2 linked regions of the Stegostoma tigrinum genome follow. The protein of the gene in region 1 purifies or fractionates together with the protein of each later gene. This does not show direct contact. Links are inferred from orthologs where the notes say so. Each region holds a gene or a part of one and is shown on either strand. Other genes may lie near its edges. The genes, in order: polr2d and rngtt.

Region 1 (10,972 bases):
AGGCTGGACTACACTTCCCGGCATGCACGGCGGCCTGCTGCCTGATGGGATAGAAACCCCGTCTTCCGAGCTGCTGGAGGACTTCTCCGGGAGGCACCGGTGCTGTTACTGTTACCATGGGAACACAGCGTTGACTCTGTTGCTAAGCAGGGAAGAGGGCGGCGGAGCTGGTGCTGATTAATTCTCACTTATTGAGAGACCCTCCCTCCCCTCAGAATGGCTCCAGGAACCCAAATTATTACAGAATGCATGCAAATGGAAGAAAATCATGGGAAAGCTGCCTCCTGAGTTATCTGACTCTTGCCTGGAGGTGATGCTGGAAGCAGCAAGGGCCAGAGGAGAGATGCCCATTCCTCTGGATGGGAGCAAGAGGCCAACTGCTCCCCGCTCCACCAACAAAGAAAATAGGATCAGCATTAGGCCATTGAGCCCTTCAATCCTGTCCTGCCATTCAATATGGTCATGGCTGATCACCCTCAGTACTCTGCTCCCGCTTTCTCCCCATACTCTTTGATCTCTTGTGATGCAGTGGCTATATGCTGCAGATGCTGTCAGCAGCAGGAGTCTGGTGCTCAGCATCTGAACACAGTGGCAGAATCGGGGAAACCAAGTGGAGGCTTGGGGACGGCTTTACAGAACACCTATGCTCAGTTCGTGCTAAACAACTGCACCTCCCAGACATGAACCATTTCAACTCTTCCTCCCATTCCTCTGATGACATGTCCATCCTGGGCCTCCTGCAGTGCCACCCGAAGGTTGCAGGAACAGCACCTTATATTCCGCTTGGGAACCCTGCAACCCAATGGTATCAATGTGGACTTTACAAGCTTCAAGATCTCCCCTCCCCCTACTGCATCCCAAAACAAGCCCAGCTTGTCCCCGCGTCCCTAACCTGTCCTTCCTCCCACCTATACCCTTGTCCCACCTCAAGCCGCACCCCCATCTCCTACCCAATAACCTCAACCCGCCCCCTTGACCTGTCCATCCTCCCTGGACTGACCTATTCCTTCCCTAACTCCCCACCTACACGCACCTGTACTGGCTCCATCCCCGCCTCTTTGACCTGTCTGTCTCCTCTCCACCTATCTTCTCCTCTATCCATCTTCTATCCGCCTCCCCCTCTCTCCCTATTTATTTCAGACCCCCTTCCCCTCCCCCATTTCTGAAGAAGGGTCTAGGCCCGAAACATCAGCTTTCCTGCTCGTCTGATGCTACTTGGCCTGCTGTGTTCATCCAGCTCTATGCCTTGTTATCTCAGTGTTGGAACTTCCTGTTTGTGTTCATGACCTCCTTCGGCCAGGAAAGATTCTTGTCGTTGCCACTTTGACAGCGTCTTCCATCACCCAACCAGGTAGGTGTCCCTACCTCCTGGCTGGCAGATCTGAGTTCAGGCCCCATCTGAACCCTTAATGGCCAGTGAAAGTACATCAGAACATGGCCCAGCAGGTTGGTTATCAATATATAAATCTTTATGATTCGGTAAAAATAAATGTGCAAGTTTCCTGGCCAGCCAGAATCAGGTGCTAGCGACAGCACAAGCCTCCCCACGTTAAAAGACTCCATGCACAGGTTCTTACCAGGATTGAGTGTTTAGCCTTGCTGTGGAGGTCTACCACACACAAACATGCTCTCTGACTTTACCAGAATTATCCCTTCAGGCACTCCTCTGATGGACCAACCTTGCAGTTTCACACATTCCTTTCTCCCCAACTACCTCCTCAAATCTCCATCTCAGCAGCCAACATTCAGACCGTAATTAACCACACCCATCCTGGACAATTGCCCTCCACAAATGTTCTCATTCCATCCTTATCACAAATTCCAATTCTCACATTCATAACTCTCCACTTCAGAGGTGAAAGTAAGTTTTGAAATTTGATTTGAGGTTACATTTTGACTTCCCGCTGCTGCTGGTATCTCTTCCAGCCAGGAGGTATGTTGTTGTTGTGGTATGTTGTGCTCCCCTCACATCCAACTGTGGCTCATCAGCAACCACTCTGTTATTTCCCTCATTTAATTAGAGCTAGTTGAACAGCTATTTCTGCAATTCTCAGCCTTGCCTGAGGAAAGACATTTCTGCAGCTTTCCAGCTCTGACCAAATACCAAAACACTAACAGTTTTTGTTTTCTGGATGCCATTTTTAGACTCCTTTTTGCACTCATGATTTCAAGGACCTCTTAATGACTGTAGTCTGCATTTGGAACTTTTTAGCATGTATCTTTGCACCCACCTTTCAAAGGTTTCCATTTTCTCCCCATGCATTTTTCTAATTGTTTGGGTTTCCGATGCATACAGGAAAGTGGATAGAATCTAGCATTTTATTTTCTTGCTACATATCTGAAAATTGTACATTTCCACCGACCCATAACATTTCACCGCCTTACTATTCAAGTACTACTTATCTCTGCCTCATGGTATTTAAAGGCTATTTTCTTATATTTAAGTATGTATTTAATTTTATTTTATATTTTAGATATTTTATACTGAGTTTTAATCAGAAAGAGAGTTAAGGGTTTTGGGGAAATGCAGAAAACTGGAGATGAGGATTATCAGATCAGCCATGATCTTGTTAAATAGTGTAGCGAACTCAATGGGCTGAATGGGCAGAATGAATCTACCCTACACCTTGTGTTCTTATGACCTTACCTGAAATGACAAAGGTTTTATTAGTTAGCTCTGCTACTCGGCACTTTTTAGAGATCATTTCTATTAGTCACTAATTTATTCAAATTATTGCTTTGGAATTTTGTTTCAAATTCATGTTTAGTATTTATGACTTTATCTGCCCAAAATTTGTTAGCTGGCCCTGTATGAGAGATAAATGGAAAGATAGTTCCTCATACAAAACAATTGGAAATCCCTGATATGTTTGTGTGAAGACCCCAAACATTTGGCATTAGCTAAAGACAAAGATGACACAAAGCTAGGTAGGAAAATATGTCAAAAGAACATAAAGAGACTACGAAGGGATTTAGTCAGGTAAGTGAGTGGACAAAAACTTTCGAAATCAAATTGGCAAAGATGGCCTGTAGGATGTGTTCCTGGAATAGTTTCAAAGACAATACACACTGGAAGCTACAAGGGAACAACTTTATCAATTGGGAATGAAACAGAATAAATTAATGACCTTTACAGTAAAGGATGCCTTCGAGAGGAGTGAATAAGGCATGAAAGAATTTGAGATTCAGTTTGAGTGAGAACTGCAGGTCCATAACAAATCTTTGGATAAAGGCAGAAGGATGTCCAAACAGTTAGCGAAAGTCAATAGTCTTCAAGGTTAAAGATAAAAAGTCACCCCATGAATATTAGAAAATCAATCAGCAAAATGAAGGAAGTGAAAGAAAACAGTCACCAAAAAAGCACAGGAAAAGCAACAGAAATCAAACACACTGACAAGTCCACTGGATCTGATTGTCTGCATTCTGTGGAATAAATGAAACTAGCGACAGAGAAATGGTAAATGCATTGGTTGTAATCTTCCAAAATTCCCTAGATTCTGGAACAGACCCAGCCCAGTGGAAAACCAGAAAATACACCTATGTCCAAGAAAGGAGAAAGACAAAGAAATGATAGATTAGTTACTCCAATGTCTGGCATTAGGAAAATGCTACAATTCACTACAAAGTAGGTAGTGGAAGGACAATCTGAAATTAATACTATCAAGGAGAGTAAATATGGTTTTGTGAAAGAAAAATTTGATTGATATTTGCAGTAATGTCCTTTAAGAATGTAACAAGCGACATATTTAAAGGGGAACTAGTAGCTGTAGTGTATTTGGATTTCTGAAAGGCATTTGATAAAATCACTGCATGAAAGCCAACCACAAAAGGTAAGCATTCATGGTGTTCAGGGTGTTTAGCATGTGTAGAGAATGAACTAAGAAGATAAAAGTGGTTGAGATAAATGTGTCATTAGTATGATGACAAACTGTAACTAGCAGAATACCACAGGGATCAGTACGAGAAACTGACTATTCACCATCTATGTCCGTGACTTTGTTAAAGGGACTGACTGTTTTGTAGCCAATTCTGCTGATAATACAAAGATAAGTTGGGAATTAAATCTACAAAGAATGGGGAGTCAGAAATTATCAGATATAATGCAATGTGGGAAAATGTGAGGTCATCCAATTTGGCAGAAATAGAAAAGCAGACTATTATTTAAGGCAGAGAGACACTGCAGACTTCTTATATATATCACAAATAATCAGCCACCAAGTGCAGCATGTCATTCGGAACACAATGGATTTTAGGCTTCGGCACCCTTGTGACACATTGGTAGATCTCTACCTCTGAGTCAGGTGGCCTAGGTTCAGATCCCACCACTCCAGAGGTGTTACATCCCTGAACAAGTTGATGAGGCAAGTGTTTGGAATGTTGGCATTTATTACAAAAGGAGTGGAGAATACAGGTAGGGATGTCTTAAAACTGCAGAGGCCATGAGTGAAATCACATTGAGCACAACTCTGGTCAGCTTAAGGAGGGAACCCTACTTACACTGGAAGCAGGAGGAGAGTCACTTAGAAGATTTGCAGGATGAAGAGGTCTGTCTTATAAGGAGAGGTTGAGCAGAATGGGCTTGTTGGAGGTTAGGAGAATGAGATCTTATTGACACAAAGACGTTTCTGAGGAGGCTTGTCAAGATGGATTCTGAAAGGATGTTTGCCCTCAGGTGCAAGTCTAGAATTAGAAGCCAGAGTTTTAAAATAATGAGTTTCCCATTTAAAATGAAAATTACTCATTCCCTTAGAGGCAGGTTGACCAACATTTGAGGAAAAGATTAGGGGAGGCTCACCAAATCTTAAGTGTTGCTGAACTTCCAAGGACAGATTGCAGCTGAAAATGAGTAGGTAGGTGGTTGTTGAGACTTTACCTCTGATGAAGTTGTTGGAGCAGAAGACCAGCAAAGCATTCTGTGCATAAACCATTACCACAACGCTCAAAAGTCAAAGATCTCTAAATGGCACCTGTGGGGACTGTTGACAGTTTTTGGGAATCCAGAACAGAACCCACAGTATTGGAGGTATTATATTGGCATGAATGGCGAATTGACTAATGGGCAGGAAACAGTCAGTGGTGATAAGGGTTTTTTTTCAGCTTGGTGACTTGTAACCAGTGGGTTCCACATGGACCAGTGCTGGACCGCAACTGTTTACTGGAGTATAAGAGTAGGGAAGTCTTATTGTAACTACAAGGTGCTAGTGAGACCACATCTGGAGTACTGTGAGAGCAATTTTGGTCCACTTATTTAAGGAAATTATTTAAATGGAGGCAGTTCAAAGAAGATTCACCAGGATGATCGCTGGTATAGAGGACTTGGCTGATGAGAGGTTGAACAGATTGGGACTCTACTGTTGGAACAAGAGTGATATCATTGAAACTATAGGATTCTTCAGTAGCTTGACAGGGTCAAATGCTGAAAGCATGTTTCCCCTCATGGGAGACTCTAGGACCTGAGGGCATAGTCTCACAATAAAGGGGCATCAATTTAAGACTGAGATGAATAGGAATTCCTTCTCTCAGAGGATTGAGAGTCTTGGGAACTCCGTGCTACAGAAAGTTGTTTTGGCACGGGGTCCTTATGTGTATTTAAGGCTGAGATAGGTTCTTGATCAATAGGGAAATGAAGGGTTACAGGGAAAGAGCAGGAAATAGGAGACGAGGAATGTTGAATCAACCATTATGCTATTGAATGGCAGAGCAGGCTTGAAGGGCTGAACAGACTACTCCTGTTTCAATTTCTTATGGTCTTAATAGTTGGTCACCCTCTGTAGAGGGTAGTTTGTGTTTTGAATTCACATGGAAAGCAATGTAATTTGGGCTATTGAATACATTCAAGTCGGAGTTATATATTGACAAGGGAGTCAAAGATTCCAAGGAGGTCAGGCATGAAAATGGAGATAAGGCCACAATCAGATCAGCCATGCAAGGTGAAGTAGACTCAGGGCTGACCTGAGTCACCTGGGTATGTTCTTATTGAAAGGGACATTGTTCTTCCTCAGGGAGTAGACCCATAGAATTATATAAGTATTATGGTGCACATGAAGCCATTCAGCTCATTGTGCTGACAACAGCTTGTGAAAAGTGCACCAATACCTAGTGCCAGTATCCTGCTTTCCCCTCATAGCTTTGAGTGTTATTTACATCGCCCTCTTGAATGCGTCAATTCAATGTGCCTCCATCACATTTCCAGGCAGTGCATTCCATAGCCTAACTACTCACTGTTTGTACAGGTTTTTCCTCACTTCACCCTTGTTTCTTTTGTAGATCACTTTAGCTTTATGTCCTCTTGTTCTTACATAAAACAAAGAGAATGTGCATACTGCAGATCTGAAACAAAACAGAAATTGCTGGAGAAACTGAGCAGGTCTGGGCAGCCTCTGTGGCGAGGATGCAGAGTTAAAGTTTCGAGTACAGATTCCCTTCTTCCTCTTACGAGCGGGACCCATTCAGTCACTCAGAATCATGACGCTGATTGACCGACTCAATCCAACAAAATGTTTTAACGAATAGGAAGGCAAGAACCCGGGCCAGGCTGGAGCCACACTGTTCCCAGGCTATTTTCAGTGACCAGGTTCCGCCTGTATCAAACGTGGCAGCGCCCGGGGTGGGGGGGAAGCCGTACAGCTTTTGCGCATGCGTCTGGATGGGCTGGGATCTGGTCTGGTCTTGTTCCGGGTCAGTGAGGACTTGCAATGGCGGCCTGTGGTAGTGAGGCCCGGGTCGGCGATGTGGAGGAGGACGCTTCCCAGCTGGTGTTCCCGAAAGGTACTGGCGGAGAGGGAGAGGGATGGATATGATGATGATAATGGGGTGAGAAAGGTAAATCATTGAAAGTTCCTGCTGTATTCTCAGTCAGTTCTCACTCTGTTTTATATGCTCAATTCACTTCTAGTTTGCCCTTCAAGAAATGCTGCATAAAGACATAACATAAGCGACAGGCCACCAAGTTCAAGAGAGAATGATAACAATAGCAGCAGTATGCTCAGGGAACAGGGTGAAGGGTTGGCCACTGAGCATGCCACTTTCATTCTCCTTTTGTGAGTCAGAGAATCCCTGTAGTACAGAAGGAGGCCATTTGGCCCATAGAGGTCGGCACTGACCCTCTGAAAAACATCCCCGGCAGACCCACCCCATCCTTGTAACCCTGCATGGGGCTTTTAACCATGGCCAATCCACATCTTTGGACTGTGGCAGGAAACTGGAGCACCCGGAGGAAAACCACACGGATACAGGGAGAATATGCAAACTCCACATGGACAGCCACCCAGGGTCGGAATTGAACCTGTTACCCGGCACTGTGAGGCAGCGATGCGAACCACTTTCAGGAAAGCCTCAGAGTTGTAGAATCATACAGCACAGTAAAGGCTTTTCTTGCCCTTGAGTCTGTTCCACCATAAATACACTACTTCCTTTGCTATTCCCACTTAAGTTCTTCACTTACCTTTTTTAAAAAAAAGCTTATGAATTGCTTTCTGCCAAATTCCAACTGTACACATCTACTACTCAGCAAATGTTCCACTGGAGAAGCATGTATGTGGCACAATGATTTAATCCTCTGAAATTACCTTGCTCAATGTGTGCAATACGGTACTGTTCGCTCCCTCTTTCTAGGCTTCAGATATGGAAACTCAGTACACAGGAATGGAAGGAGTTAACCTGTTATCAGGTGATCGCTCAGAGATAGCAAGAACTGCAGATGCTGGAGTCAGAGATAACACAGTGTGAAGGTGGGGGAAGAGGAACACAGGCTAAGCAGCAGCAGAGGAGCAGGAAAGTTGATGTTTCGGGTTGGGACCTTTCTTTAGAAATCTTCAGAAATCAAGGGACCTGACCCGAAACGTCAATTTTCCTGCTCCTCTGCTGCCTGGCTTGCTGTGTTCCTCCAGCTCCACACTTTGTTACCAGTTGATAGATGTTTGAGCTTAAGTACTATCAATATGGTATTCAAAAAACTAAGTTATTGGAAGTTGTTTGGGAGGGGCATTGTTAGGTAACTGACTGAAGGTTTGGCTACATTTTGGTTGTTTTGTTTTATGTTGTCACAGAGTTTGAAAGCTCAGAGACCCTGTTAAACTCTGAGGTCCACATGTTGCTGGAGCACCGGAAGCAGCAGAACGAAAGTGCAGAAGATGAGCAGGAGCTCTCTGAAGTGTTTATGAAAACGTTAAACTATACAGCCAGATTCAGCCGCTTCAAAAATAGGGAGACCATTGCCAGTGTTAGGAGGTCAGTGCGTGAGGATTCGAAAATATTCAGTGCACCTACTGATCTGCAGTATTGCTCTTGCTGGGGTTGGGAGGGGTGAATTAATTCTCTTACTTGTCCCATCCTTCCCTGGTCCCAACAGATTTGGAATTTGAAAGGGGGGGGGTATTTTCAATTATATATAGTATCAGATTGTATATTTAGTCCACATCAAAGCAAGTCAGCCATGGTCTTTAAGTAACAAGTCACGAATTAACTTATTGTATATGAAGCTTACTGAAGCAAATTGTTGAGATTAACTTAAGGTTTAAGCTGTCAAATATATTCAATTTCTCCTGAAAAATAACACTCACTCACTCGGATGCAGTGAGAGAGACAAATTTGAAAACATTTCAATGTGTTTTCTTAAGTGTTTAACCAAGTTACAATCTAATTTTTTAAAAAATCAGTGTCCAAATGGTAATCTGTAGCAGAGTCACTTTGCTTACAAAATATTGGCAATAGGATTTCTTCCTGGATCACATGTGACTAGCTGATTTTCTTTTGAATTTGGTGATAGATTCTGATTCTCCTTCAAGAACTCAGAGTGCAGCAATCAGAACTATTCCCATTAGGAACTAATACTTGATGAAATCTTTCAAAAGGTTTATAACTCAAACTTTTAAGATGAGTTTCAGAGAAAACAGAGATGGTAAGGGCTGTGCTCAAGGCAAGTTATCTCTCTGGTTATCTGAGCTCAAATCATCTACTTTTCTTTCCCTGGAACCAAAACTGGATCATGTGACTTTTCTGAAGGTGTTGTGGACTTGGCATCTTCATTGAAACAACCTGTTCCTTCTAAATGCAATGGTTTTGCTACTGTAGTCATTGTATTTTGTTTTGCAGTGTCTCTTCCTAAAAGTTCAAAGCACATATGTCCAAACAGTGCTATTATAATAATGTGACAGCTAAATTGTCTTTGTGACAGTATTCACAGCAAATTTCAGGCAAATTCAGTGGCAAGTGGGCTAATTCTATCCTCTGAGCTTAGTGCACAATTATCCTATGATGACATATTGCACAATTTTGACTTCTGACTAAGTATGAAGGTTGATAACTTGATCCTCTTGAATACTGATCCTTTTTGCCTGCTTTTGGCTCAAAGTTAACAACTGTGGCTGGGATCTGTTGACTGTGTTTGACAAGGAAATGTTTCCTGGTAACTATATCAACTTTGTCATTTTCTTTCAGTAGTTATTTTATTATCTTTCAATTTACTTGTCTACTATTAACTGTCTTACTCTATTATCACAGATAAATAGAATTGATCATATTATTCTTCTCAGTCCTGTTTACGCTTGTGTTGTATTTAATCACATTTAGGCTCTTGTGAAGAGATCGAGTTGAACTAGTGTGTGGCTTTCATTTGAAGTATAGCTTTCACATTCTCTTTCTTGTAGTCTGCTATTACAGAAGAAATTACACAAATTTGAGCTAGCCAGTTTGGCCAATCTGTGTCCTGAGACAGCTGAGGAGGCCAAAGCCCTCATTCCCAGGTCAGTGCTCTTTCTGTACTGTTTCTTTCGAGCATGGGGTCCACTGAAGGCACCGAGGTCAGTCGTGAAGTAAATACAATTTCCATGTATGTATGCTTCTCCAAACATGTAGGACTGGAGGAAATGGAAGAGCTGGGGAGTGACAGTACTGATTTGAAAGCAAGAATGAGAACTTTAAAGACAAGGCATTGGCTCCCGGTTAAGCAATCAGAGCAAATATTTCTTTTCTGTGCGTTCTCCTGAGTGCTACATTTTGATTTTTGGGGGCTATTTTTTCCTTCTCTTTAATTATTTTATGAGGTGACGCAGCCATTTATTAGCATTTCTGTCTGTATTTGTGTTGATGTTTATGGCATTTGAATTCTCATGGAAGCAGGTTCGAATAATTCTTCAGTACCCTCGTCTTGGAGAACACGGTATACAAGTGGGCATAAGACAATGGCATAAGTTTGTTTTGCAAAATAAGTATGAAAACAACCATCGCCCTAAATATACCTTCTACGTTGGTGACATCTTGAGCTGATGAGTTTCCATTGTATGCTAACAAAGCTGGAATATTTTAATGAAGTGATTGGGAATGAACTGAACTGAGTTTGGAACAAATATGTTTATATCAATGTCACTGTCTAATGGATGTAGCTCTTCGGGATCTGGCAGTTTTAAATCTGCATGTAGAGTAATTGTTTTTAGTCACCTAACTGTGATGGTGGTTGCAGAATATTCATGCTCTTTTCTTCTCTTTGTTCCCCTGCTCCCACTCTATTTTGTAAAAATTTCAGCTTGGAGGGTCGATTTGAGGATGAGGAGCTCCAACAAATCCTTGACGACATTCAGACCAAGCGAAGCTTTCAGTATTGATTCCAATATCTGCTAAAGCCCAGCTCTTCCTGATGCTAATCCACTGAACAATGGTGCTGGTGCTTCTCTCTGATGTGAACTGATTGTACAGAGAGTGGAGGTGCCGACCCTATAGGCTGAAGCAAACCAAATGCACTGAATGTGACTGTGAACCCTTGGACTAGTCCTAAATCCAGAGCTGTTTAGTAACATGTTACTTGACACCTAAGAGTACAAAGACGCTCTGGGGTCACAGAATAGGAATATTGCCTGTTTTTGTTTCAATCTGATGTCTTTGACTGTGTTTTGTTTTCCCTTCCATTCTGATAAATCCTGTAACTAATTCTGATGGGATATTAGCCCCACGTTGTTTTATTAAAGTGAAGACCCAT
Region 2 (10,696 bases), on another chromosome or scaffold:
CGCTTACGACTTCTGGCTAAAATCCCGAACTCAGCATCTGAGGTGCGACGTTCAACGAAGGAGGCGGTCACCATGCAATGCCAAAAAACGTCTAATTCTTCCAAAGTAATTGTTGAGAAGCAAAGGAGGGGGTGGGTCCGGGGAAAGAGGAGAGTCACTGGCCTACCTCCAGATAATAAATACAGCTCGTCGTCGGATTAAAAGTTGAGTGAAAATGGCGGCCACTGAAGCGACTTCCTGCGATTGTTCGGTCACTCGCAAAACCTTCCTACCTCAGACTCTAGCTTTCCTCCCAACGCAAGCTATATATATATATATATATATATGTATATGTCGCTGGCTGGGTTTAATAACAGGCAAAGACTAAGAGGCCGACTCCAGCTTATAAACAGCACGAAGAACCATGGAGGCAACAGTCTTACACTTCTGACAACAACGGGGGGGGGGAATGGAGAAGGCAGGCGATCGCGACACGTCATCACTCACCGGTACCCACCAATGGTAGCGCGTTGTGGTGGTGCCACGTGACTAAAGACTTGGTCGCGCCGTCCCGTCCCGCCCTGTTCTTGCCCTTAGCAACCATGATGTCATTGGTCTGAGAGACGAGCCCGGATGCGGCAACGGGTATTGAAGTTGGGCGCAGGCGCACATAAGTCTGTCGCTTGTCTAATTTCTTGCAGTCGTACGTGTAACCTTTTTAACTATTTGTTTTGCCGTACTTGCTTACAGTTCCCTGTTTCCGTGAAGACCGTTGGAATTGAGTTTTGTGTATGTGGGCAGTGAAATGATCATCACGTGACGGTAATTTCCGTCTCTGGGGCGGTGACGTCTGCGCTGTCGGACGTCCTGAAACCTGTCAGTCCATTCAGATCGAAATTCGAATTCTTGCTCAATGACACGTGGTGTGGCGATGATTTCCACTGTTTTTGCTGTGGGATTTCCCTAAATTCCCCGGGAATACGGGAAATTGTACTCGTTGACACGCAACGAATTTCCTAAAACCGAAGAAGCGTTCTTTGACTAAAACGCTAATTGATTTCTGAACTTCCTTACGTTGACATTGTGTAACATAAATATCAGTCAATAAAATGATTATTTTCAGAAGAAAAACACGATTCATTCCATTTTCCCCCTGTACTTCCGTAAAACTTCCAATAGCTTTCTATTTCTTATACGAAAAGCACGTCCTCAGCCCGGGTATTCGAATGCGTTCAGGAATTTGCCTTAAACATTGCCACCTCCCCAAGGCAATGAGTTTATGCTTTTGATTCTGACGCAATCTATAGCCCTAGGAGCACCAATGCTTTGGAAGAGTTTTGCAATTTCATATCATAGAAATTAACCCTTTAAAAGTGATCTTCAAGCACCATCTTTGTAAGGACATTCTCTAGTCTGCACTGCTTTGGAACATTTTATTACTGTTTCCTACTCGCTACCCAATCGTTCACAGGCGATCAGCCACTAATGAATTTCTGGATAAATAATTGTACGAGTGGAATTAACGTTGAAGTTATTTCTGGATCAGGCAAGTACCTTCGAGGTGTGTCACAGCATATCCAAACAGGTTTATTAAACATTGGCAAGAGATGAGCAAAAAAAACTTTTTGAGTCACTAATTTGGGTTGAAGATAAGATCCTAACTTTTTGCAGACGCTATTTAGATACTTAACACTAAAATGTATTTAAAAATTATATATTCTAGTTTTTGTTTAAGTTTGTAGTCCTTGGTTTAAACATGGATTCTACTTGTGACTAGAATTTAAAAAGTACAACTATCATAAAATTACAAGGCAATTATTGTTCAGCAAGGCTGTTTTGTCTATCTTAATTTATCTAGCTATAAACATCTTAATTTTAATAAATTACTTTTCACATGCAAAATTAATTTCTTCTTATTCATTTGTGTGGTGTGGGCGTCACTGGCTGGCCAGTATTTCTTGCCCGTCCCTAGTATTTCTTGATAGCAATCAAATATGTTTAAGAGTCTGAACTGGTGTCCCATACATTCTACTCAATCAATTTGATTTATTCTATGCAGTGAATATCTAGCTCATGTTTAGAATATATTTCAGTTTTAGAATACAATTAAGAATTAAAGTTTAACTGGAAAAATTGAGATAAATGCAATTTATAGTTGAAACATCTGATGTTGTTTAAAATGTTGGTGCATGTTGCCTTCAGAGGTTAACATCTAGAAAGGTAATATCATAAAACTGTCAGTAAGCTTATTTTGTGAAAAGTTGGAGATGTGCAGCTCAGAGAAATAGCAAGAGCTGCAGATGCTGGAGTCAGAAATAACAATGTGGAGCTGGGGAAGTACAGTGGGCCAGACAGCATCAGAGGAGCAGGAAATTTGACGTTTGGGTCAGGACCGAAAATGTCAACTTTCCTTCGGTTGAGAGAGATGTAAATTAACTAAGCTTGAAACAGTTCAGTAAATCCTAAAAGGTTGGAAAACCCAATTACTTCATATTAAAGAAGGTATTATAAATTAAAGGAAAGCTGGAGGAATCCCTTTCTTCATGAAGCTTGCTCTATCACTCAAGCAGCTCATGGCTGATCTACTTCAACATTATTTTCCCACAGTCTTCATTTTCGTTTATTATTAATAGCTGCAAGTCTATTGATCTTGCACTTGAATATTTTCAATAACTTATATTTTCCACACTTCTCTCAAGTACAGACTTTCAAAGATTTATGATTGTCTCAATGAATAAAAACTTGTCCTCATCTCAGTTTTAAACTCATTCTGAGACTGCAAGTTAATTTAAACATCAATTTTAGTATAACTCAGAGCAGGCTATATCAGCCTGGTGATGGATAGAGTGCAATCAGTTTTTCTAGTTTCAGTTTGTCACAAACGTTTCCTCAGAAAGTTAGTTGCAGAGTTTACCTCATGTGGTTTGCAGAAGGTGGTTAAATAAATGTTAAGACCTGCATTGTAAGCTATTTTCATCATTGACCATTACGTGGGTGAGATTTAAATTCCGTTTTAATTTTGTGAGGGATTAGAAGATGGAAGATTGTCGAGTTTGAAGGCAGTAGTTCCTCTCAGTGTTATTGCAAAAGAAACTGGAGCAGTTTGGAATACTGGAAAAGTAACCAGAACAAAGGACTGAGGTAATCAGATTTTTTTTTTTAAAAATTAACAACTCCTAGGGAGATTGTCACAACTACTGTTCTCACACCAATTAGGATAACCTTAGATGCCTCCTTTCCTGTCCTCAATTTTTCCTTATAAGTCAAACATTTGAGATTATGAATCAGTCCTTTCTCTTCACCAGTTCTAATGCTTGAATATCTCACCCTTGTGGTTCATTAACTAGATTTGAAAGAACTGATTAAGCATAAAGTAAAACAGAAGAGAATTTGACTTTATTTTTTGAAAGGAATCCAATTAGTTCCACTTACTTGCCCCTTCTGTATATCTTTGCTAAATATAGTCATTGAACCCTGCTTTCCCCACTGTTTCAGACAGCTTATTTATTTTTATGAACTTGCAGCATTCGTATTTTCTCTTATGTCCTTGTTATGATTGAATCTTCCTGTGGTCATGATGTCTGGGAGCAGGAATGCTACCCCTGATACCACAAAATCTCCAAAAGCCACTTTTAATCAAGTGTTTTGACATACCTTTGGGGCAAATAATACTTGAAGTTAGATTCTACCACTGTACCACAAAGACTTCTCCATTTCTCACTTCATGTTGCCTGTAAGTATTTTGGGAATTATCCTAAATCTGTGTCTTTTGGTAGCTCGTTCTTTTGCCAATGAAGAGTTTTGGAAATATGGCTCCATGTTGTAGAGCTAGTGCATGCATTAGTTATGATTTTCCAATAATTTCTTGAATGGTCCTAGTCAACATACAGACAAGGAGCAGGAGTGAGCTATCCAACTCATTAAGTTTGTTCTGCCATTCAATTAGATTATGATTGAATTTGTTTTAGATTTTGTAAGAATGCAGGCTTGTGTATTTCCTGAATGATGACACGTCATGTTAGTCATGATGTGGAGGTAGCGGTGTTGGAATGTGGTGGACAAAGTCAAAAATCACAACACCAGGTTATAGTCCAACAGGTTTTTTTTGAAATCACAAGTTTTGGAGCATAGCCCTTTCGTCAGGTGAAATGAGAGAGAAGGACACTGACACAGAATTTATATGCAGAAAGATCAAGCGCAGAAAGTTCAAAAGAACATATAAATGATGTGAGTGGAGTGTCAAATAATAAGTTTCTGCATGTGATCAAAAGTGTCAGTCTGTGTCAGTATAGTGTCAACAGTTGAATTGCAAGCGAAGGGATCCGATTTATTTATTTATCATGTACTAAGTATGGGAATACATAAATACAGTGAAAAGTGCACAAAGTCGCCATTCACTAGTGCTCACTTGGTTACAAAAACCAGAATTAAAAGATTTAACAGAGCCTAAAGGTAGGCAAGAAAAAAAAATCCAGATCTGAGTCCCAAGTCCCAGCCAATAAAATGATGCAGAGATAACTACAAAAAATTAAAAATAAGGTAGTGCTTGAGACAAACCAAATGACTGTAACAACACAATAGGTATTACAGGGTAGGTGATGGCCTAGTGGTATTATTGCAAGACTATTAATCCAGAGACCCAGGTAATGTTCTGGGGTCCAGGGTTTCAAATCCTGCCAATAAAATTCTGGAATTAAGAATCTACTGATGAATGTGATATAATTGCTCATTGTCAGGAAAAGCCCATCTGGTTCACTAATGCCCTTTCGGGAAGGAGAACTGCTATCCTGGACTACATGTGACTCCAGACTTATAGCACTGTGGTTGACTGCCCTCTAGGCAATTAATGTTGAGCAATAAATGCTGCTGCAGCCAGTGATGCCCACATTCCATGAAATGAATTTAAAAAAAGTTGCATGCTGAGGATCTAAGCTAAGTAATCCAAAACTGTACAAACTAATTAAGAACTTGACTACCAGTTTCTGCTTGGCAATTCTGCATTGTAGTGTATCTCAAATGCTGCCTTGGAACCGATACCCAAGTTTTGTACCCATGAATACAGCCTCAACTGTGATCTTGTTATGTGTGACCCCAACACTCTGTTCTATATCAGTAAAATCTTTCTTACGGTCCTGTTTTTGACACCATCACCTCGATAAATCATTATGATCACTCTACCTCAATTACTTTGTACAGTTTTGGATTACTTATTACTTTAGTTAGACCCTCAGCATGTGACTCATACCTTACATGTTATTACAGTCAAGATCACAAAGTGTGGAGCTGGATGAACACAGTAGGCCAAGCAGCATTTCAGGAGCACAAAGGCTGACGTTTCGGGCCTAGACCCTTCATCAGAGTGCTCCTGAGATGCTGCTTGGCCTGCTGTGTTCATCCAGCTCCACACTTTGCAGACGCTGGAGAATCCAAGATAACAGTTCCCATTATCAATGTTATTACAGTCATTTGGTTTGTCTCCAGCACCACCTTATTTTTATTTTTTTGTAATTATCTATCTGCCTCATTTAATCAGTCATCCCTTTACTTGTTATTCAGCTGATGACGTTTTTCTCACACTGTCTGGCAGTTTTGATTACCTGCAGAGACTTATTATTTAACACTCCACTTACACCATTTGTATGACCTTTTGATTTCTCTGCCTACATATTCTGTCTCAGTGTCCTTGTCTCACACTTCACCTGGCGAAGAGGCTACCCTCCAAAAGTTTGTGATTTCAAATAAACTTGTCGGGCTAATAACCTGCTGTGGTGTGACTGCCGACTTGTCACGTGAGGGATGGGGTGCGCTTGGACACGTCACTTTGCGACTGTCCCAACAGCAGGGGGATAAGGCGCTGCGGGGGCGCGCTATGCCTGCGCGGCGCGATGGGGGAGCGGGCATGCGTGCGCGTGCACATTCTGCCCTCGGGTGCCCGGCGGCGTGGAACCTACTCGCTGCCAACGGTTTAAAGGCGCTCCCCCAGCGACAGCGGATTTCCACCATACCACCAGCCGGAAAACACAGACTCGGCTTCAGCGGTATTTCCTTGGGTTTTCGCTTTTAAGTCGACAGCAGCAACAAACCCCGGGCCTTACCGGGACATTAGGGGCCGAGCTGAGGCCTCCAAGCCGGGGACTCGCTTGTGATTTGAGGAGGGAAAGAGCGCGACGAGGATCCGGCAGTGACTTGGAGGCGATATTTCCCCTTTCGTCCCCTCCCGCTGCTGCCAGAAGCAAGAAAACTTGTGGTGGTGTGAGATTTCGGCATGTCAAACAGCGCAATCCCCCCGCGATGGCTGAATTGTCCCAGGAGAGGACAGCCGGTGGCAGGTGAGTTGTCAGAAATCAGCCATGGTGGGGGCGATGCTTTTTGCTTTCCTTTTGTTGTCTTTGATTAGTTGCATTGTGCAGTAATTCAAAATACTGAGGAGATCATCTCGGAAGCTTGAAAACTTGTTCCGTGGTCTAGCTGAATCGAAATTACTAGTTGGGGTGGCGGTTGCTGCAATGTTGTTCAGCATCCAATCATGACCAGGGAGCACGTTTCAAATAAGGTTGAAGAAGGAACGTTTTTCACATGTGGATGGGATACTACGAGTATTAATTAACCTAAATTCTGCTTAACACACTGATTGGTCAGTTCTTTCTGGTGTGTAAGATACTTTATTTATAAACTTTCCTTAGCTGTCTAAATGTTGAAATTGATTAAAAGAGCATCATGAGTCAAAGCCTCTAAGGTAAAATGCAGTATTGGTAGTCTGTTTACTGCAATGTCTGTATTGAAAACTTTGTTCCGAAAACACACTGACGCCTACTAGTGCTTGTAGCTGGTGTGTTCACTTGAACCTGATGCAGATGGTTGCACATAAAGATGGTTGTATGTAAATTTGTTTTCGCCTAGGTACCAGGCCATAAATATGAATATTACAGAATTGAATGGGGCATATGGAATTGGTGCAGAAGTAGACAGTTAGGCCTGTAAACCACCTCTGCTGCATAAACTGTTTGTCTGTTTGTTTGTAGATCCACATTCACATCTCTAATTGATATTTGGTTGCCCAGCCTAACAAGAATCTATTTAACTCTGCCTTTAAAATATTATACGACCTTGGCTCCACCGTGTTCTGAGGCAGACAGTTCCAAACTTGTACATCGTCTGAGAGGGGGGAAAAATTGTCCCCATCTCTGTGATAGCAAGAACTGCAACTGCTGGAGTCAGAGTCAACACAGTGTGGAGTTGGAGGAACACAAGAGGTTAGGCACCATCAGAGGAGTTGGAATGTTGATGTTTGTTTCTGGTTCGGGATCTTTCTTCAGTTCAGGTCCCAACACGAAACGTTGATTTTCCTATTCTTGTGATGCTGCCTGTCCTGCTGTGTTGACTTGTCCTCATATCTGCTCTGAAAAGTTAACCCTTAATTTTGGAACCGTATCCACTAGAGTTATAGGGCCACAGTGTCATACAGCATGGAAACAGACCCTTCTGTCCATGCTGATCACAATCCCAGATTAAACTAGTCCCACCTGCCTGAGCTTGGTTCATGTCCCTCCAAATATTTTTTATTCATTTACTTATCTAAATGTCTTTTAAATGTTGTAACTGTACTTGCATCCACCACTTCCTGTGGAAGTTCATTACACACGTGAACTGCTGTCTGTTTTTTAAAAAAAAAACCCTTCTTGTCTTTTTCACATCTTTCTCCTATCACCGTAAAAATGTGCCCCATAGTCTTGAAATCCCCCATGCTAGGGAAAAGACACCTGCCAGCCACGTTATCTATACTCCCTATGATTTTAGAAACTTCTACAGGGTCGTCCCTCAAACTCCTATGCTTGAGTGAAAAAAGTCGCAGCCTATCTCTCCTCTTCTCCATAATTCAAATCTCCAGTTACTGGCAACATTATGGCAAATCTCTTCTGAACTGTCACCAGCTTAATCATTAACTTCCTATAACAGGGCAACCGGAACTGCACACAGTATTCTAAAAGAGTCTTCACCAATGCCCTGTACAACCTCAACGTAACATTCCAACTCGTATAAACAAAGGTCTGAGCAATGAAGGAGAATGTGTTAAATGCCTTGATTGCCCTATCTATCTATATGTGATGCAAACTTCAAAGAATTCTATACCTGAACTCTTAAGTCTCTCAGTTCTACAATACCATCCAAGGCCCTACCATTATTTATACATTGTTTGTTTTACTAAAATGCAATACTTTTTGTATTTATCCAAATTAAGCTCCATCTACCATTCTTCAGCCCATTGACCCAATTGATCAAGATCTCTTTGTAATCTTAGATAATCTTCTTCACTCTCCACTGTATCACCAACCTTGGTGTCATCTGCAAGTTTACTAACCATACCTTCTATATTTTTATCTAAATCATGAGAATAAAATCTAAAAGTGGAGCCAGCACCGATCCCTGTGGAATACTGATGGTCATAGGCCTCCAGTCTGAAAAACAGCACTCCTCCATCACACTCTGACTCCTGTAAAGCCAATTTTGAATTCAGTTGACATGCTCACCCTGAATTCCATGTGATCTAACTTTTTATTAATTACTTTACCATGCAGAACCTTGTCAGAAGCTTTACTAAAAGTCCAAGTAAGCAATATCTATCACTCTAATAAAAACCAAAAGAACTGCGGATGCTGTAAGACAGGAACAAAATCAAAGTTGCTAGAAAAGCTCAGCAGGTCTGGCAGCATCTGTGAAGCAGAAACCAGAGCTAACGTAGTATGGTGACCTTTCCTCAGAACTTTGTTTTTGTTCAATGTTTACCACTCTGTCTGCATCAATCTTCATGGTTAGTTCCTCAGAAAACAGTCCAAGTTGTGGGACACGATTTCCCTCACTCAAAACCATGCTGACTATCCCTAACCAATTTTAAAGGAAGGATAGAAAGAGGCAATCGAGGAGGGGCAGTGGTGTTTTTGATTCAGGAAAGCATGACTAATCTAACTAGAAAAGGTATTTCTGAAAGAATTGTCATGTGAAAGTGTATGGGTTGAAATTAGAAATAAAAAAGGAATGATCACCTTGATGGGATTGTATATAGATCACCCAATAGTTAGAGGGAAATTGAGCAACAAATATCAAGAGAAATTTCAGATATGTGTAAGAATAACAAGGTTTTAACAGTAGGTAATCAAATTTACAGGCATCACCTGGGACTACCATGGTGTAAAAGATTTGAATGGTGAAGAATTTGTTAAATGTCATTTATTCGTGAGATATACACATAGAAACAGACCCTTCGGTCCAACTCGTCTAAGCTGACCAAATATCCTGTATCAATCTAGTCCCATTTGGCTCATATCCCTCTAAACCCATTGTACTTGTTCAGTTGTAATCATACCAGCCTCCAGCACTTCCTCTGGCAGCTCATTCCATACATGCACCAGTGTCTGACTGAAAACGTTACCCCTTATGTCCCTGTTATATCTTTGCCCTCTCACCTTAAACCTATGCCCGCTGGTTTTGGACTGCGACATACCCCAGGGTTATTCACCTTGTTCATGCCCCTCCTGATTTTATAAACCTTTTTATAAAGTCACCACTCAGCCTCCGACACTCCAGGGAAAATAGCCCCAGCGTATTCAGCCTCTTCCTATAGGTCAAACTCTCCAACCCCAGCAGTATCCTTGTCAGTCTTTTCTGATCAACTTCAAGTTTCACAACATCCTTTCTGTAGGAGGGAGACCATTTACTCTGAGGTAACCATATTCGCTGTCCACTACACTTCCAATTTTAGTGTCATCTGCAAACTTGCTAACCATACCTCCTATGTTCACATCTAAATCATTTATATAAATGATAAAAAGTAGTGGACCCAGCACCAATTCTTGTGGCACATAGTTGGCCATGGGGCCCCCAGTCTAAAAAGCGACCCTCACCACCACCTTCTGATTTCTTCCTTTGAGCCAGTTCTATATCCAGAAAGCTAGTTCTCCCTGTATTTCGTGTGATCAAACCTTGCTAACCAGTCTACCACAATGAACCTTGTTCACTGCTTTACTGAAGTCCATGCTCTGCCCTCATCAATTCTCATTGTTATTCTTTCAAAAAAAGAACAAGCCAGTTAGTGAGACATGATTTCCCACACACAAAGCCATGTTGATTATCCCTAATCAGTCCTTGCCTTTCCAAGTAATATTTAAGTCCTGTCCCTCAGGATTTCCTCCAACAACTTGCCCACCATTGATGTCAGGCTCACTGGTCCATAGTTCCCTGGCTTTTCCTTACCGCCTTAACAAGAACATTTTCTTTATCTATCTCTAAATATTCCTATTAGAGAAAGAGCAAAACCTGACTTTGTCTTTGTTAATAAGACAGGACTCACTCGCAACAGGAAGTATCCTTTTCACATTCACCTTGTTAAAAGCATTCAGTGTCAAGTCAGTTGTACAGCATGGAAACAGACCTTCGGTCCAACTCTAAATTAATCAAGTCCTATTTGCCAACATTTAGCCCATGTCCCTCCAAACTCTTCTAATTCATACACCCATCTATAGTTCCCTGGTTTATACACTTCAGTCATTCCTGTAAACTTCGTTGGCAACAAGCCAAGCCTGTCCAACCTATTCAGGTAACAAGCTGCTCATTCCAGATGCCTATCTAGTAAACCACCTCTGAAATGGTTTCAATGGATTTACATCCTTCTTGAAATAGAGACCAAAACTACATACAGCATTCTGCATGTGGTCTTACCAAT

What was found.
Region 2: the proteins of polr2d (region 1) and rngtt purify together in Homo sapiens (affinity purification with mass spectrometry; 3 studies listed by BioGRID and IntAct, with this or other methods). This does not show direct contact. The link is inferred for Stegostoma tigrinum from reciprocal best matches to the Homo sapiens genes POLR2D and RNGTT.

What each region holds. Positions count from the first base shown.
Region 1 is NC_081367.1:6,522,296-6,533,267, reverse strand, and holds the start of polr2d (DNA-directed RNA polymerase II subunit RPB4), read left to right. Parts: upstream 1-6,658; 5' UTR 6,659-6,695; coding exon 6,696-6,768; intron 6,769-8,048; coding exon 8,049-8,229; intron 8,230-9,647; coding exon 9,648-9,743; intron 9,744-10,522; coding exon 10,523-10,601; 3' UTR 10,602-10,972. UniProt on the Homo sapiens protein: Core component of RNA polymerase II (Pol II), a DNA-dependent RNA polymerase which synthesizes mRNA precursors and many functional non-coding RNAs using the four ribonucleoside triphosphates as substrates.
Region 2 is NC_081357.1:40,537,914-40,548,609, reverse strand, and holds the start of rngtt (mRNA-capping enzyme), read left to right. Parts: upstream 1-5,879; 5' UTR 5,880-6,244; coding exon 6,245-6,308; intron 6,309-10,696. Other genes in the region: pnrc1 (proline-rich nuclear receptor coactivator 1), read right to left, coding at 1-74.